Coturnix japonica: one gene and its partners. The main gene of each other region encodes a partner of the protein of the gene in region 2 in a complex. Links are inferred from orthologs where the notes say so. Each region holds a gene or a part of one and is shown on either strand. Other genes may lie near its edges. The genes, in order: TIMM22, TIMM29, AGK, TIMM10 and TIMM10B.

Region 1 (4,347 bases), on a different chromosome or scaffold from region 2:
CTTTGCAGTGTGACTTCAAGATCAGCCCAACTAGGTTAGTGTGGATCAAAGAGAAGATTGAGATCTACAGTTCAGGGCTCCTTAGGGAGCTCAACCTGCCACCAACCTCCTCTTTTGTATAAGGATCCCATTGTAGTAGACATTAACAGCAAGCTTTGCAACAGCTTCTGACCTTAAGATATAAAAAGCCTTAAAGAGTAAAAGAATAGTGGGGGAAGAGCTCTGGGCAGGTCTGATGGTCCAGCCAGCAGAGGGCAGTGGAATTTAATAGGAAAAGAGGAAAGTTATTGAAAATAACACCATCACTTCATTTGAAGAACCATCAAACCAGGTTGTTATTTGAACCTGCGTATCCAGCACAGACAAGATACAGGGCAAGAAATGTTAAAAATGAAAAGAAATAGAAAATAAATGATTGTGGATCCTTTGGGTTTCTAAGCAGTCCCCATTCAGAGCAATGAATGGCATCAGGAAGATGTCACACTTAACACATCACTTAAGAACAACCAACAGATCTTTGATATCGTTTTCAGTTCTCAGCACAACGATCTGAAGCCACCTCATCTCATCTGCTGAAACCACCTCAGGGCTTCAAAACCTGTGGGCAACTTCTAAAGTTAAACCAAGCCAACATTGAAGCCAACCAGGCTATTCCTTCCAAGCAGACCCACCTGCATCGTGCTGGGCTGAGCAGAGCGCTGCTCCTGCTGCACAGAACAGCAACACAAGGCACAGAGCGTGTGGGTGAAGGCTTTAAACCTTGGCAGCTCCTCCTCGTTCAGCTGAGGGGGGGCACAGAAGAAGAGTTTCCCACCCTGCTACCAAACAGGGTAAGCGCGGAAGGGCTGAGGTTTCTATATGACTCGCTGCGAGCTCGGTTTGCATTTTATGACAAAAAGACAGACTTTTTTTGCTCTCTAAGCACCTTTGATGTCAAGCTGCCTCTCCGTGTGCCCGGGGCAGCGCAGTGCTGCTCGGATGGGCCGCAGGATGATCCCAGCACCACGCACAGCTCAGCTGAGCCCTGAGTGCTACGAGGGGGACACCCACCCGCAGGGCTCAGCCCGGGGCTGTGCAGAACGACCACGGCAGGACCCGCAGCTCTCAGCCCCGTGTTGAGGTTGAGCTGTTATCCCTAAAGATAGAAGTCACTCCGGGAACGGAGCGACCCCTCAAAGCTTAACGACCCCTCCGAGCTTAACGACACACCGGAGGCAGATCGGCCCCGCACTGCGGCTCCTCATCCCTCCCCATCCCCGTGGCCGTCCCATCCCCGCTCCATCCCCCCCGTAGCCGCTCTCACCTCCTATCGCTGCCTCTTATCGCAGTCTCCTATCGCTGCCTCTTATCGCTGCCGCCCCGTTGGATGCTCGTGCAGCCGGAGCGCTCACCTCACTGCACCGCCCCCAATGGCCACCAGGGGGCGCTGTACGCCGGGTAACGGGGCTCCCAGCCCTCAGCGCGGCCAATCGCGTGTCTCTCCGCAAAGCACGCCGAGAGCTGTAGTTCAGTGTCATGGCGCTGCCGCGGGGAACGCTGGGAAATGGAGTCTCGGCAGCGCGCCTCACAGCGGGAGTCTCTGTTAGTGAAACTACAACACCCATCAACCCCCGCGCGCTACGGAAGCCGCGCTGCCGGTTCCTCGTTACGCGGAGGACAATAATGGCGGCCGCACCGCCGGGCGGTTCGCAGCCTCCGCTGCAATACAGCGCTGTGCTGCAGCACCTGGTGGGCGAGCAACGCCGACCCCGAGTGTGGGACCCCAACAGCTTCGGGGGCATCCCCTGCCCGAACAAGAGCGACGAGCAGAAGATGGTGGAGAGAGCCATGGAGAGCTGCGCCTTCAAAGCGGCCTTGGCCTGCGTGGGGGGTGAGGGGGGGTGGGGGACACACGGTGTTGGGTTGGGGCTGAGGGGGGGGATGAGGGTCTGTCAGATCTTAAGGGCAATTCCAGCCCATGGACACGGGGAAGGGGCTCCCACCTTCCCCTCCAGTTTAAGATAGAACTCTCTGTGCTGTGTGCCTGCACTAAAGGGGGCACTAAGATGGTGAAGGGCCTGGAGCATCTCCCCTATGAGGAGAGACTCAGGGAACTGGGTCTGTTTAGCCTTGAGAAAAGAAGGTTGAGAGGGGATTGGATCCAGGTTTATAAATACCTGAGGTGTGGGGGCCATAGTGGTGAGGCTGGTCTCTTTTCAGTAGTGCGTGGGGACAGGACTAGGGCTAATGGGATGAAAGTACAGCATAGGAAGTTCCTTAATAAGAACTTCTTTACAGCGAGGGTGACGGAGCACTGGAACAGGCTGCACAGGGAGGTGGTGGAGTCTCCTTCTCTGGAGATATTTAAGACCCACCTGGATGCCTACCTGTGTGATGTGGTGTAGGGAGCCTGCTTTGGCAGGGGGGTTGGACTTGATGATCTCTAGAGGTCCCTTCCAACCCCTACAATTCTGTGATTCTGTGATCAGATCAGTGTCTGCAGCACATCAGCCCTTCATGCTGCCCTTAAGACCAGAGCAGCTCTAACCCTGTGAGTGTTGGATCACTGCTCCAATCCAGAGCTTCATTTCATAGCTGTTGTCTTCCCCAGGGTTTGTTCTTGGAGGAGCCTTTGGGATCTTCACTGCTGGCATCGACACCAATGTGGGCTTCGACCCCAAGGACCCGTATCGCACCCCGACAGCCAAGGAGGTGCTGAAGGACATGGGGCAGCGCGGCATTTCCTACGCCAAGAACTTCGCCATTGTGGGCGCCATGTTCTCCTGCACCGAGTGCGTGGTGGAATCGGTGAGTAACGACCCTCAAACGTTACTATGGGAGCTTTTATTATACACCATTGAGCGCCTTTCATGAGTCCAAACCACTGTGGTGAGGGATTGGCTCGTTGCCTTTTGCTTCTTGATCATTTAAGCTTTTCAGTTCTAAAGGTTTTCAGAACTGTTCTGTGTTGGAATAAGCAGAGCTGCATGCAACAGTGAAGAGCTTTCCAGTTCAAGTCCTGGATTTTGGCATTGATTTTTGAAACTTTAGCTCCAAACAACTCATAGTTGTGTTAAAACATCAAACTGGGAGTTGCAACGTGGCCATCTGAGCCTCTAAAAAGTACATGTGAAGAAAGGGATCCTTTGATGAAAGATCTGAAGTAATAGGGCTGTTTTCATCTTGCCCCTACAGCAGGAAACGACCTCGTGCTGCTCAGTGGTAAAGCTATCACCCGTTTTCTTAAATAGGAAGATGAGCCTGTTATGAATGTCAGTACTGTCCTTCAATCGAAAAACACAATTAGTTCTTAATCCGTGTAAAAGAAAAGTGTATCTGTGTGCACAACGAAGCAGAACAAACACGTTGCACTGGTGAAAAACTAGCTAATAGCTAATGTTTGCCCGCAGGCTGCTGTTTGCTCTCATGGCTGCATGGCCATGCTGTGCTCACAGTGCCTTTAAATTGTCTGTGAGCTGGTGCCGGTGCACTGTGCTGCCTTGTGGGGGCTGTATGGGCTCATCTGAGAGTGTGCTGTAGCACTGCATTGCACCATGCGGATGTGTCTTACCTCTCCTGCTGACCTGCTCCTTCCCCTCCTCCTGGCCACATAAAAACTTTTACAGTGCAGGGGGGCCATCTGCTGAGAGCAGAAGGAAAAGCATCCTCATCTGAAACAGGGCTGGAAGGCTTCACCTCCCTTGGTGTTAGTACAGATGTCGAATTGTTATTCCATGTTTACTTGTTGTCTCTTGTTTTTTAACTCCACAGTATCGTGGAAAGTCAGACTGGAGGAACAGCGTTATTAGTGGCTGCATCACAGGAGGAGCGATTGGCTTCAGAGGTTGGTGATGCCTGGTAGCAACTGCTGTGATAAGGCAGCAATTTGGGATGGTAACAAGCAGCATTTTTAAGGCAACGCACGCTGCAAATCTCTCTGTATGGGGTTATGTTGATGTCAGCATGAGAATGTGCTTGAAGTTGGCAGAACTGTCATCTCTGTCTCTTTCCTGTCATCTTGAAAGATATGTGTGGGTAGGGAAGGCTGGTTGTACAGGACAGGGAGAGCGGAGAGAAATGAACAGAAGTGACTTGAAAGCAAATGAGGAAATGGTGCTGGTAGCTCTCCACATGCTACTGGGGTGTCATGGAGAGGGAGCCAAAAATATGTTCTGAGCAACTCGCTGAAGTTACAGCTCTTGTGTTAATAGAGCTCTACTTAGATATATTGTTTCACTGGCAGGAACTCTGTTAACTTGATCAGCTTGTACAATGCCTCCCTCCTTTCTCCTGTCTCAAAGAGGCAATTCTATGTAGCTGTACAAGAGCAGGAGCACTGAGATTTTAGTCCAGCAGGACCTAGAGGGG
Region 2 (4,080 bases):
GGACAGACTCAGGGCGGGCTCTAATGGATCAACTCATGGGGCCGGTCTACTGATCAGACTCTATGGGGCGGGTTCTATGGGATCAGACTTCGATGGGGTGGGCTCTATGGATCGAGACTCTGATGGGGCGGGTTCATGGAGATCAAACGTCTTGGGCCGGGTTCTATGGGATCAGACTCTATGGGGCCCGTGGTTCTATGGGATCAGACCTCCTATGGGGCCGGGTCTATGGGATCCAGAACTCGATGGGGCCGGGTTCTCTATGGGATCAAGACCTATGGGGCCGGTTCTACTGGATCAGACTCAATGGCCAAGGTTCTAGGGCCGGTCTATGGCATCAGACTCTATGGGCGGGTCTATGGCATCAGACACTATGGCGGGCTCTATGGGATCAGACCTTGGGGCCGGGTTCTATGGAGCCACGACTCTATGGGCCGGTTCTATGATCAGACCTATGGGGCACGGTTCTATGGGATCAGACTCTTGGGGCCGTGGTTTCATATGGGATCAGACCAATGGGCCGGGTTCTAGGAAGACTCTATGGGCCGGGTCTAGGGATCAGACGACCTATGGGCCGGGTTCTATGGGATCAAAGACTCTAGGGGCCGGGGGGTCTATGGGATCAGACTCCATGGGCCGGTTCTATGGGATCCAACTCGCTATGGGGCCGGTTCTATGGGATCAGACTCTATGGGGCCGGGTTTCTATGGATCAGACACATGGGGCTGGCTCTATGGATCCGGACCCTGGGCCGGGTTACTATGGATCAGACTCTATGGATCAGACCAGGGCGGGTTCTATGGACTCAGACTCTTGGGCTGGTCTATGGATCAGCCTCAGGGCGGTCTATGATCAGGGTGGGAGGGTGTCTGAAGGGGGCTTAGGTGTTGGGGGTTTGAAAACAGCCCGATAGCACACAGTCTGGTTGACGGGTGGGGGGTTTGGGGAGGCTAGGGGGTGTTGGGGAGTGGGGCTATTATAGGGGGGTAGGGGTGTTTTGGGGGTATAGGTTTGAGGGGGGGTGTTTAGGGGATCACACCTCGGGTGCCGGTATGGCACCTTGGGGCCGTATCACACCATCAGGTCCGGCTTCCACACTGGGTCCGGTATCATCGACTTTGGGGATCGCCGGTATCACATGCATCAGTGGTCCCGGTATCACACCTGGGGTGCCAGGAGCAACCTTGGGTGCCCGGATCGACCTTGGGTCGGTATCACGACCTTGGGGTCCCGGTATCACACCTTGGGGTCCCGGTATCACACCTTGGGGTCCCGGTATCGCACCTTGGGGTCCCGGTATCACACCTTGGGGTCCTGGTATCACACCTTGGGGTCCTGGTATCACACCTCGGGGTCCCGGTATCGCACCTTGGGGTGCCGGTATCGCACCTTGGGGTCCCGGTATCACACCTCGGGGTCCCGGTATCGCACACCAGGTCCCGGTATCACACCTTGGGGTGACGGTATCGCACCTTGGGGTCCCGGTATCACACCTTGGGGTGCCAGTATTGCACCTCAGGGTCCCGGTATCGCACCTTGGGGTCCCGGTATCACACCTTGGGGTGCCAGTATCACACCTTGGGGTCCCGGTATCACACCTCGGGTCCCGGTATCGCACCTTGGGGTCCTGGTATCACACCTTGGGGTCCCGGTATCACACCTTGGGGTCCCGGTATCGCACCTTGGGGTCCCGGTATCACACCTCGGGGTGCCAGTATTGCACCTCAGGGTCCCGGTATCGCACCTTGGGGTCCCGGTATCGCACCTTGGGGTCCCGGTATCACACCTCAGGGTCCCGGTATCACACCTCGGGGTTCCGGTATCACACCTTGGGGTCCCAGTATCGCACCTTGGGGTCCCGGTATCACACCTCGGGGTCCTGGTATCACACCTCGGGGTCCCGGTATCACACCTCGGGGTCCCGCTATCGCACCTTGGGGTCCCGGTATCACACCTTGGGGTGCCGGTATCGCACCTTGGGGTCCCGGTATCACACAGCACCGGGATGGTTCTAACAACCCCCCCATTAATAGGCCGCTGGTTCCGTGCCGTACTTCGGGACTACACGGAGGCGCTTTGGGACACGCTGCGTTGGGCCCGGCGCCGTCCGGTGGCTGCGGGATCCGTGTTGGTATCAATGGGGGGAGCTGTGGCCGCCATCAGAACCGTCCCGGACCGACGTTCATTCGACGCGGCGCTGCTGGACGCCGCATCCGCGCTGCTGCTGCTGCCCCCCAACACTCGGAACATGGCGACCGAACGTCACGTCCAACGGCTTCAACGGCGCCGGGACCGCGGGCAGCTCCGGTACCGGCAGCTGGTGCTGCTGGCCGTGCTGTACGAGGAGCCGCACGACGCCGCCGTGGCGCTGTACGGAGCTCGGTGTCCCCACGTACGGCCCCGGTGGAAGCGGGTGTGGGACGTGGGGTTCGCCGGGCGCTGGTGGGTGCTGGAGGCGAAGCTCCAGGACTGTGACATTAACGATGAGGAGTTCGCGGCTCTGCCCGACGCCCTGCAGCGGGTCCGGCCCGAGCAGCTCCACAGCGACGGCACCGAGCGGCTCCGGGAGCGACGGGAACGACCCACAGTGCTGATGCCACGGGGAGATGATGGGGACTGAGCGGGGCAACGCGCCGGGAGGGTGGGACTGGCCGCTATCGGTACCGGCGGTTATTGGTACCGGCAGCTATCGATACCAGCGGTTATCGGTACCAGCAGCTATCGGTACCAGCGGTTATCGGTACCAGCCGCTATCGGTACCGGCGGTTATCGGTACCGGCAGCTATCGATACCAGCGGTTATCGGTACTGGCAGCTATTGGCACCGGTGGCTCTTGGTACCGGCAGCTATCGATACCAGCGGTTATCGGTACCAGCCGCTATCGGTACCAGCGGTTATCGGTACCAGCAGCTATCGATACCAGTGGTTATCGGTACCGGCAGCTATCAATACCAGTGGTTATCAGTACTGGCCGCTATTGATACCGGCGGCTGTTGGCACCAGCCACTATTGGTACCAGTGACTTTCAGAACCGGCGGCTCCTGGTACCAGCAGCTATCAGGACCAGCAGCTCTTGGTACTGGCCGCTATCGGTATCAGTGGCTCTCAGCACCAGCGGTTCTTGGTACCGGCGGCTCTCAGAACCGGTAGCTCTCGGCACCAGTGGCTCTCAGTACTGGCAGCTATTGGCACCGGTGGCTCTCGGTACCGGCAGCTCTCGGTACCGGTGGCTCTTGGCACCAGCGGCTGTCGGTACCAGCGGCTGTCAGCACCGGCAGCTATTGGGACTGGTGTCTCTCGGTACCGGCTGCTATTGATACCGGCAGCTCTCAGGACCATCAGCTATCGGTACCAGCAGCTCTCGGTACTGGTGGCTATCGGTACCGGCGGCTATTTGTCAGTACTGGTAGCTCTTGGTACTGGTGGTTCTCGGTACCAGCAGCTCTCAGTACTGGCAGATATTGGTTCCGGCAGCTCTCGGTACTGGCTGCTATCGGTATCGGCGGCTCTCGGTACCGGCGGTTCTTGGTACCGGCGGCTATTAGCACTGACAGCTATCGGGACCGGCAGCTGTCTGTTGGTACCGGCTGCTATCGGTACTGGCCGCTGTTGACATCGGCGACTCTCGGTACCGGCGGCTATAGGGACCGGTGGCTCTCGGTACCGTCGTTTGTTTGTCGGTACCGGCCGGTGTTGGACATTACAGTGCATTCATTGACCCACTGAGCGCTGCAGCCCAGTGCTGCTTTCAGCCCTCCATAAACGAGAACCCCAAATCTGCGCTTTTTCAGCCCATTTTGAACCACTTCGTCCCCCTCTCCCCAGCCCCAAAGCTGCCCTATATGACCCATTTACCCCCTATTTCCCCCCCATTTTCCCCCTTTTCCTCCTATTTCCCTCCCATTTCCCCCTATATCCCCCTTATTTCCCCCCTATATCCCCCATTTACCCCCTATATCCTCCTTGTTTTCCCCCTATATCCCCCCTTTCCCCCCTATTTCCCCTCTGCCCATTTCCCCTATTTCCCCCATTTTCCACGCTAATTTTACCCTGCATTTTCCCCATATTCCCCCTATTGCC
Region 3 (3,573 bases), on a different chromosome or scaffold from region 2:
AATAAGAGTCTCTGGCATAACTGTGTTCCAGAATTTTACTCCACAATGAGAAAATTATTTGGGGAGAATTGTTTCCAACTTTTTCTTTCTGTGCAATGTAACTGTAATGGTTTAATTTTCAAAGTTCATTCCCAGCCTATCTATACTTCTGAAGATGAATGGAAGTTTTCCTAAACAGGAATCAAAAAATTTAATATTTATATGGGAGCGATAGTAAGCGTGGTATGTATTTAATAAATGTCTTTTGTCAAGTCAATTAATGGCAAGAGCACACTGCCAACAGAACTGGAGAATACTCTCTTTCAAGGCGGGTTGTTTTTTACCAAAGTATTTCCTGGAATGCTAAGTACTGATTTCATCAGGCAATGGCTAAATGAAATGCAATGATTTTAAAAGAAAGTGGTTGGAATCCATCTAGACGTTTCTCCTACCTTAAAATCAATTATTGTTAATTGTACACTGAACCGTGCTGTTCTAGAATTTATGCAGGGCTGTCTGGGTCTATTCTATGTTAAAACGTTTATGCTGGCATCAGTTGTGATGTCAATACATACTCATGTGCACTCAGCTCTGCTGTTTGCACCATGTTTGCTCACTGGATTTGTGTCCTTTCCCATGCAAGCAATAGTAAAAAAAAGAGTAGCTGCTTCTTAAATCTTTGCAAAAGATAAATATGTATAATTTTTCATAGCTTTCTACTGTCACTGCAAACAGAATTCTCAAAGATGAGCCTTTCTCTTGTTTTCCAGGTCATAACTGGACTTCTTCGCAGAGCGGATGAGGTGAGGAAGTTTATTTCCTAGAAAAGGTGTCTTGTGAATCCACTGTGATCTCTTGGTCCAGCCTGGCTTTTGCAGATGTTGTTGCTTACTAATACCAAGCCAGTTTACTATGTAATGAGGCAGCCATGCTGGTGTCCTGCAATACTTCCCGTTGTTCTTCATTTCCTTTCTTGGGGAGTACAGTGTATCTCAAGCCATGTCTTTGGGGAATTTCCAGCTACAGAGCAGGATTTATTAAGGAGCCAAATGCACAACTTTCAGACACCTATATACAGCTGTGTATGCTTTGTGTGGCACTAGTATTGGGCAAAAAATGCAGGTTTTTCTTGTATTTGTGCAGACTTGAAACTGAATTTAGGTTTGCCCATGCCCATGGTGTTTTATGATTGTTTTGCCTTTTCTTCAAGCAGTGAGTCTCCCTGTGCAGATCGCCACAGAGAACTAATTGTAACCTCTCAAGGTAGATCCCTCTTAATGGAAATGAGATTTTTCTGAAAATCTTCTGACAGTGCTATTGAAGAAACCCAAAACCTTCTGGCAGGAGCTGGCAAAAGCTGAACTAAATGATCCAGAGAAGATTCTGATGGTATCCTTGGCAGCTAGAACTGTATCTGTTTAGGCAGTTGCCTTGTCTGAGTGTGGCAAGAGAAACTCTGCAGCTCTGCCAGTGTTTTTTGTGAGGTGCTAGCTGTATTCATTCTGAGACATCATGTGTTCTTAAATTTAGTGTTGTTATAACTGACCCCTAAGACCTCTGCAATCTAAGGATTCTGAAAGAAACATTGTGGAGGCTTTACTGGCTAGTTACTTCTTTTGTATTTTTGTCTTATCTTGATGTAGCTCGTGTTGATCTGCAGTAACAGAAAATTCTGCAACCAGTACTGTTTTTGGGTGGATTACTGCCCTGTGACATTGCCACTGTGTCACTTCATGTCTTTGGCCTGCAAATTCTTCTTGCCCTTCATATCACTCTGTCCTAGGAGTGAAAACCTGCAGCTCAGTCCCCTCAGTTTGAGCTCTGCTTCCCTTTCTTGGGTATGTCATGCCACTGTTGTCTGGATAAGGAGAGCTTGTGCAAGGTGTTCCAGAAACATGGGTCCTAGTAGCCAAGGGAACAGAGCTTGCTGCATTTGCTGTGAGCAGCCTATCTTCTGCAAGCTGTAAAGCAGTGCTGAAGATGAGCAAAGGATGTTTGAGGTGTGTTAAGACTTGCAGGTGAGACAGAGATAACAAGGGAGAGCAGGTAGGCATGAAGTGAGAGCGATGTTGTTTAGCCAGCATGGATTTGCAGTGCTGTGGCACTGCTGATAGCAGCACCCAAAAGGGAGATGGTACATTGTGATATGCAGTAGTTTACACTGATTTGCTGACATGATCCAAGAAGCACAGTTTATTTTGAGGTACAGTGTAATAACTTGCTCCTCCAACGAGCTCTTTTGCTGAACTGAAAAGTAACATGGTCAGTGAGTTTCAAAAATTAGACCTTCTGCTGCTTCGTGATTTGGATGCAGGAGGAATCCACTAATTTCCTTTTCTTAACTGAAAAAATCTCTTTGCCATACAAGGTTACTCTACCAGAGTGGCATTTCTGCAGTGGTAAATGAGATTCAGAGCTTGCTCTGGCTCCATCAGTATTAAGAAAGATGGCAGATTGCTGACAGAATCCATGCATTAGTTAGGATGTGTGTGCCAACCTGCACGTAACAATGCTTGTAATGATTACAGAGAGCTCCTTTGCACCCAGTTGGCAGTGGTGGGTTCAGAGATTTGGATGCCATGTTCTGAGTCATTATGTATTACTGCCTCATTTAAGGAAGTGCCTGGCTGCTTAGTGCCAGAGGGGTGATATCAGACACAGCTGTGGTCTCCATACAGAAAGCTTCATTCAACTGATGCAAATGTTATTTTACTCCCCTTGTGTGTCCAGGCTGCTTTCAGTAAGATTCCTATAGGATTCATACCTCTTGGAAAGACCTGCACATTGAGCCACACTCTCTACCCTGAGAGTGTGAACCAAGTACAGTAAGTATTAAGTGTTTCTGAAATGCAGCTTTTGTTTGTTTTCAAGAAGCAGTGCTTCTTGGTAGTTCGACGCTTTCTTTTTCTTCTATATTACATAGAAATTGGCGGTCTCTGGGCAGAGCCTGATGATTCGGTTTGATATAAAATTGTTTTGTCCACTTCGAAACTGAAGTCTAGTCAATTAATCTCTCTTTTCCTCACACTTAATTCCCTTTTGATATTTCCTTCCTTTCCTTCCATGCTAACAAGTATATTTCTCCTTGCTACTGAAATCTGTTCACTCTGGTTCTCCCAGTGACTAATTAGCATTCTTATTCAGTGGGCCCTTGCTGGTGTCCATCACACATAAAGTCCATGATCCAACTGGCATAACATCCTTCATTAATGCCACCGGAGTGCTTTGAAGCTCAGCAGGATGGACAAGGTTGCAATCAGTAGCAAAGATTAAAATAATAATTTATATTTGAGTTCTAAAGAAGCTGTTTGAAATGAGTAATCTTCTTGCCCCCAGGTAATGAACTGTGCAGGTGATACTGCAGCATACCGGTGAAGCTGAAAGGAATTTGGTCAGTAGGTTGCTGAACAACCCACACATGTATCAGAACCTGACTTTTGGAAGTGATATTTTATAAAGAAACACTTTGGTTCCTTTGTCACTGTTAGAGCTATTCTTTGGAGTGTAGGAATTGCAGAGATAGTGAGGGAAGGCAGGAGCCAGGAGAAAAGAAAGTCTGCGAAAGAAACAGCTTCCTTCTCTGTCTCAGTGTCC
Region 4 (2,518 bases), on a different chromosome or scaffold from region 2:
CAGCATCTCCTGCCATGCTGACCTCACTCACAGCATCCCCTACTGCCTCCCCCTTAGCCTCACTCCCACAGTTCTTCTCTGCTTCTACCTCGCCCCCAATCCTCGTATCCCCTGCACTCTCCCCCCCAGCGCCCCCTTCATCCCCCCCAGCCTCCCCCTGCCCTTCCTGTGCTGCACTTTCCCCGCTGTCCCCCCCCACCATCCCCTCTGTGGGCCCTGTTGATGTCTGTGTGAGGTCACCCAGGGCAGTGTCATTTGGGGTTGGGGCTCCATCGGTTGTTGTGGACTCCATGCTCCTACTGTGGGCTGCAGGGTTGTCACTGAAGTATCCACCGTGCCTTCCACCCCATGCAATCCCATTGCACTTCTGTCCCTCAGCGTTCCTCCTGCCCGCCCACCCCATCGGCCCCAACACAGCTCCCAGTCCCCATCCCATCCCCATTATTTATCCCTTCCCATCCACCTCGACCCAACCCCCACCCCCCACTCCTGTCCCCAAACCCCTCCCTCCCCCCTGCACACCCCAACCCAACCCATTCCCCATTCATGTTTTCCTCCTGCCCCCTCCCAGCTCCTCCAGCTCAGTCCCAACTCCACAACTCACTCCCTACCCCCAACCCCGACCCCCCTCCATCCCGTCCTATCCTCGTTTCTCACCCCAAACCCCCGACGTCCCCCCCAGCCCCCCGGCGCCCCATATCCCGGCTCACCGCTCTCCGCTCTCCCCGCGGCCGTGTGACCGCCGCAGGTGCCGCCTTCAGTCAGCGCCGACGGGGCGGGTCGGGGGCCGGAGAGGGGCACAGCGGGGAGGGGACGGGACGGGACGGGGGGGAGAGGAGGCCGGGCGGGGCCTGGGGATAGCGGGGACTGCGGGATGGAACGGGGACACAGGGACACGGACACGGGGGGACGCGTGCACGTGAGGACATGGGGGGACGTGGAGGCGATATCGGGGGGATATGAGGGTCACGAGTGGGCACGGAGACACGGCACATGGAGGAGATGGGTGATGCGTGGGACACGAGGGGACACGGGGGACACATATATGGGAGAGAAGGGTGACAAAGGGAACACAGAGTGCCCTGATCTGTGGGGGGACATAGGGGACACATTGACATAGAGGGACACGGGGCCATAGACCCGTAGCAGACACAGACACGAGGGGGCAGAGCCGTGAGGGCAGACCCACGGGGACACGCGGAGGTCACGCGTGGGCCGGGCCGGCCCCGATCCATCCCTGCCCTCCATCGCCTGCCCCCGCCCACCCCGCTCCGCACCGCTCCCCACGTCCCATCAGCGCTGAGAACGAGCCGTTGTCCCGCCCCCACCCGTCTCCTATTGACCGAGAGCGGCGGCGGGGCGGAGCGCCTGAGCGTGTGGGCGGAAGCGCGTCCCACGTGCATCCTGCGGGAGCGCGGTGCGGGAGCGACATGGACCCGCTGCGGGCACAGCAGCTGGCGGCAGAGCTGGAGGTGGACATGATGGCCGACATGTACAACCGGTGCGCGGCCTGACGGGACGGGCCGGGGCCTGGGGGTAGTGCCCGGGACAGGGAGGGGCTGGGAGAGCGAGAGGCGCGTGGGTGTCGCGGGTGGGGGCTGTGCGGGGGCTGTGCGGGTGCCGGGGGTGGGGGGTGCCGGGCAGAGCCGTGGGGTGACGGTGTTGTCCCTCAGGATGACGCAGGCGTGTCACCTCAAGTGCGTGCCCCCACACTACAAGGAGGCGGAGCTGTCGAAAGGCGAGAGCGTGTGCCTGGACCGCTGCGTGGCCAAGTACCTGGATGTGCACGAGCGGATGGGCAAGAAGCTGACGGAGCTGTCGCTGCAGGACGAGGAGCTCCTGAAGCGCATGCAGCAGGGCACGGGCACCGCCTGAGCCCTCCCTTCGGACTCCCCTTCCCATCGTACCAATAAACTGGAGGCTCTGGGCCAGCTGTGTGCTTCCCTCGGCCCCCCAAACCCGTCTGTGGTGCTGTGTCAGGGGGTGTCCCACTAACCTACTGGAGATGGGGGCACCCCGGCGTGTCTGCTGTGCCCACGTCAGCCTCGGGGATAGGCTGAAACCTTCCTTATCCCTTATGGGGTCAGGACAGGGCTGTGCCCCTCACTCTGCTTGCTGGGGGGACACTGGGGAGCACCTGGAGAAATGGCCACAAAGGGACACCTGCAGGGGGGCAGTGAGAAAACAGCACACCTGCATGGGGACAGGCACAGAGACATTTGGTATGGATGGCTGGAGAGGGACAGTGCCCTTTCCACACCTGGAAAAGGACCACACAGGGACACCCACGTGGGGACACTTAGGGGGGGACACCTGGATGGAAACAACCCCAGAGCCACACATACAGATGTGCACACATGTGTAGGGAAGACCTGCACAGGGTTACTAGATGGGAACACCCAGCCAGAGACACCCCAGCCTGGGGGTGGGCACTGTGTGTCCATCCACCCGTACACACACAGTGCGCCTGTGCCGGTGTGTCCCCGGGGCTGGCTGGAAGTGGGTCAGGCTGCGCGCA
Region 5 (2,967 bases), on a different chromosome or scaffold from region 2:
AACAGCAAAAACGGGACATTAACGCAGAGTCTGGGGCTCAGAACCCTTCTGCCCTGTCCCCCTCTGTCTGAAAGGTGTCTCTCAGGTGCAGCCACCACAGCTGTGCCAGTACTGTGCACCTTTGGGGCTCTTGGATACCCAAGAGCTGAGCCCACACATCACACCAGTGCCCCAGGAGGGCAGAGCAGCTCCCTCAGCAGAAGCCCTGCATCTACGAGAGAGCCAGGCATCTCCACAGCTGCCTGTGAGCCAAGGGCACGTGCAGGGTAAGAAGTGCAGCTGGGTGGAAATCACACCCCCAGGATGGGCCCCACAGCATTGGCGGGGTGGCAGCAGTGCTGTGCTCTGGGGCTGTGAGGAGGCTGAGCTCTGCAGGGCCACGTGGCTGTGACTCAGGACGGCCTCAGCTACGAGCAGAGCTGCTGGGAGCAGGGACACAGACTGGCCCCGTTCAGGGCTGCAGCAGGGTGGGCTGTGACCCCAGCACTGAGCCCTAAAGCCTCCAGCAGAACACCCAGCTGACCCCCACCCACAGCCCCGTCCCTGTGGAAGCCGTTTGTACCTTTGATGGTGCCGGTGGGGATGATGCCTTCAGCGGTTCCCCCGTAGCCACCAGACACGATGCTGGTTTCGTTGAGGTTGGGCCCCGACACCATCACTTGCTGCAGGTCCTGGGGGAGCAGAGCATTAAATTGAAGCACAAGGACAGACCCCCAACCCATGGGGCCGACGTGAGGCCCCGGCGCAGCCCCACACCTGCTCCAGGCCGTCATCTTCGGGCAGGCTGCCGGCGTCCCCGTTGCTGCTGATGGGGATCTCCATGGTGGCGGCTTTGCTCATGATCCCATCCGACATGGTCAGGGCCTGCGGGGACACACGGTTCGTTCACGGGGCTCCTCGTGTCCCCTCGGTCCGAGCTCCCCACGGCTCCTGGCGCGGGGCTCGGGGCCACGTCGGCAGAGCGCGGCAGGGCCCGGCCGGACCGGTCCGGTCACATTCCGAGCATCGCCCCGCCCGCACCGAGCGCCGTTATCACGAGCTGGACCCGCCCCTCGGTACCGGCATTGGGGGCAGCGCTGCGGCCCGGCCCGGGACTCGCAGCCGCCGCTCGGAGCCAACGAGCACCGAGAGCCCGGGCGGGACGAGCAGGAGCGACACGAGCAGCGGCTGCAACGGCACCAGGAACCGGGACGGGACCGGGGCGGCCCAAAGGCCGGGCTGTCACTGCACGGCCGGGCCCTGCGGCGGCACCGGGGCTCCCAGCCCGGCTCCCACCCGGGGCCCGACCTTCACCCCGACCTTCAGCCCAGCCCAGCCCAGCCCAGCCCGTCCCGTTATGTCCCGTTATGTCCCGTTATGTCCCACCTGCCCCGCCCGGCCCCGCTGGGCCCCCCCGCCCCGGAGGCTCCGCGGCCTCGATCCGCCTCGGCCCGGACGCGCCGGAAGTTACGTCACGACCCGCGCGGGGGGCGCCGGGAGACCGAGCCGGAAGTGACGTGCTGTAGATCCCCGAGCGGAAGTGCGGCGGGGCGGAAGTGCCGGTACTTCCGGCAGCGCGGGGCGGGCCGACATGGAGGCGGCGGCGGCCGAACAGCAGCAGCAGCTCCGCAGTGTGAGTGTGGGGGGACGGGGGGAAGATGGTGGGCGGCCCGGTTCGGTTCGGTTCGGTTCGTCCCGGTTCGGCGGTGCCGGGCCGTCCCGGTGACCGTACGTGCCGCTGTTTTGCAGCTGCGGGACTTCCTGCTGGTGTACAACCGCATGACCGAGCTCTGCTTCCGCCGCTGCGTCTCCGACCTCGGGCACCGGCTGCTGTCACGGCGCGAGGTGAGCGGGGACCGGGCGGGACGGGACGGGACGGGACGGGACGGGGTGAACGGAGCCGAACGGAGCCGGTGCCGCCCGTAGGAGCGGTGCCTGGACGGCTGCGCCGGGAAGCTGGTCCGCTCCAACCACCGGCTGATGGGCGCCTACGTGTCCTTGATGCCCGGCATCGTGCAGCGCCGCGCCGCCCGCACCGAGCACAGCGCGGAACCGGCCGCACCGGACGGACACGAAGCGGCTCCCGCTGATCCCGACGCGGCTCCCGCGGGCACGTAACGGAGCCGCGGGGTCGGTGCGTTGCCGTGGCCGGGAGGTGGCTGCGGGACGGTCACCTGATGGCAGCTCCCGTGTGGAGCCGCTGAACTGCCCGGTGTCACAGCCGGGCCAGGCCGAGCCGCGTTCTCTGCACCCACAGCAGCAGCCGGGACTGCCCGACATGGCGGCCAAAACCGGCAGCACAACGGCACCGGGGGCAGGAGGAGGAAGGGAACGTGTATGAGCTGCTGTGTGCACTGCAGCTCCCGGCTGGAATCCAGCACTGACTGGGCTCCTGCTGTCCAGAACTGAACATCTTGTGTTTGTATTTGACCATTTCATGGGGTTAATAAAACGTTTTATGTGTCGTGCTGTCAGTGTGTCACAGGGGTACACGGACACTGCTCCACAAGCAGCGCTGTGTGCTGCGTCCTGCTGCCAGCGGCACCTTCCTCCCAGCAAAGGTTCCCACTTTGCTCCTTCTAGGAACTGTTTCTTTGTGTTCTTGCTGCTGGAGCAGCATCAGCACAGGCTGCAGCTCCCAGCCCTGCAGGCATTCAAGGCCAGGCTGGATGCGGCTCTGGGCAGCCCTGGCTGCTGGTTGTGACCCTGCACACAGCAGGGGGTTGGGATGGATGAGCACTGTGTGCAACCCAGGCCATGCTGTGATTCTATGCTATGATTCTGTGATACCCTGTTCCCTGGCTTCCCTCTGATGGGTTTCATTGGCACTTAGAAGAGTAGACAAATGCACACAGATGTAAGGTCTTTAAGTGCCAGTAATTGAGACAAGTCGACCTTCGTTACTTAAGCTATGGGAAAACCAAAGATCTGGTGAACATTGGAGGCCCCTAAGATTATTTTCCACCTTGTGGACAAAGCATAAACTGG

Evidence for each region.
Region 1: TIMM29 (region 2) and TIMM22 share a complex: the UniProt entries of both Homo sapiens proteins name them as parts of the TIM22 complex. The link is inferred for Coturnix japonica from reciprocal best matches to the Homo sapiens genes TIMM29 and TIMM22.
Region 3: the proteins of TIMM29 (region 2) and AGK are in contact, whole or in part, in a cryo-EM structure (PDB 7CGP), measured with the Homo sapiens proteins. The link is inferred for Coturnix japonica from reciprocal best matches to the Homo sapiens genes TIMM29 and AGK. Residues at the interface, in NP_612367.1 of Homo sapiens: Tyr145, Gln146, Cys149, Arg150, Tyr151, Leu152, Gln153, Arg155; in NP_060708.1 of Homo sapiens: His33, Asn36, Arg39, Arg40, Cys43, Gln44, Gln47, Asn51, Lys82, Pro86, His89, Leu90.
Region 4: the proteins of TIMM29 (region 2) and TIMM10 are in contact, whole or in part, in a cryo-EM structure (PDB 7CGP), measured with the Homo sapiens proteins. The link is inferred for Coturnix japonica from reciprocal best matches to the Homo sapiens genes TIMM29 and TIMM10. Residues at the interface, in NP_612367.1 of Homo sapiens: Asp181, Asp183, Ile184, Asp186, Phe189, Leu192, Leu196, Arg197, Val199, Gln203, Leu204, Ser206, Asn209, Glu210, Leu212, Phe213, Asp214; in NP_036588.1 of Homo sapiens: His30, Arg31, Lys32, Cys33, Pro35, Pro36, Leu43, Ser44, Lys45, Gly46, Glu47, Ser48, Val49, Arg53.
Region 5: TIMM29 (region 2) and TIMM10B share a complex: the UniProt entries of both Homo sapiens proteins name them as parts of the TIM22 complex. The link is inferred for Coturnix japonica from reciprocal best matches to the Homo sapiens genes TIMM29 and TIMM10B.

The regions. Positions count from the first base shown.
Region 1 is NC_029534.1:5,110,350-5,114,696, reverse strand, and holds the start of TIMM22 (mitochondrial import inner membrane translocase subunit Tim22), read left to right. Parts: upstream 1-1,500; 5' UTR 1,501-1,515; coding exon 1,516-1,870; intron 1,871-2,590; coding exon 2,591-2,787; intron 2,788-3,750; coding exon 3,751-3,823; intron 3,824-4,347. UniProt on the Homo sapiens protein: Essential core component of the TIM22 complex, a complex that mediates the import and insertion of multi-pass transmembrane proteins into the mitochondrial inner membrane. In the TIM22 complex, it constitutes the voltage-activated and signal-gated channel.
Region 2 is NW_015439913.1:16,324-20,403, forward strand, and holds TIMM29 (mitochondrial import inner membrane translocase subunit Tim29), read left to right. Parts: upstream 1-1,215; 5' UTR 1,216-2,005; coding exon 2,006-2,620; 3' UTR 2,621-3,781; downstream 3,782-4,080. UniProt on the Homo sapiens protein: Component of the TIM22 complex, a complex that mediates the import and insertion of multi-pass transmembrane proteins into the mitochondrial inner membrane.
Region 3 is NC_029516.1:55,068,962-55,072,534, reverse strand, and holds part of AGK (acylglycerol kinase, mitochondrial), read left to right. Parts: intron 1-749; coding exon 750-782; intron 783-2,709; coding exon 2,710-2,804; intron 2,805-3,573. UniProt on the Homo sapiens protein: Lipid kinase that can phosphorylate both monoacylglycerol and diacylglycerol to form lysophosphatidic acid (LPA) and phosphatidic acid (PA), respectively. Does not phosphorylate sphingosine. Phosphorylates ceramide.
Region 4 is NC_029520.1:7,775,209-7,777,726, reverse strand, and holds TIMM10 (mitochondrial import inner membrane translocase subunit Tim10), read left to right. Parts: upstream 1-1,362; 5' UTR 1,363-1,430; coding exon 1,431-1,501; intron 1,502-1,673; coding exon 1,674-1,875; 3' UTR 1,876-1,962; downstream 1,963-2,518. Other genes in the region: SMTNL1 (smoothelin-like protein 1), read right to left, coding at 1-403.
Region 5 is NC_029516.1:174,017,858-174,020,824, reverse strand, and holds TIMM10B (mitochondrial import inner membrane translocase subunit Tim10 B), read left to right. Parts: upstream 1-1,490; 5' UTR 1,491-1,570; coding exon 1,571-1,612; intron 1,613-1,728; coding exon 1,729-1,824; intron 1,825-1,905; coding exon 1,906-2,097; 3' UTR 2,098-2,113; exon of another isoform or gene 2,114-2,236; 3' UTR 2,237-2,448; downstream 2,449-2,967. Other genes in the region: ARFIP2 (arfaptin-2), read right to left, coding at 563-671, 757-855. UniProt on the Homo sapiens protein: Component of the TIM22 complex, a complex that mediates the import and insertion of multi-pass transmembrane proteins into the mitochondrial inner membrane.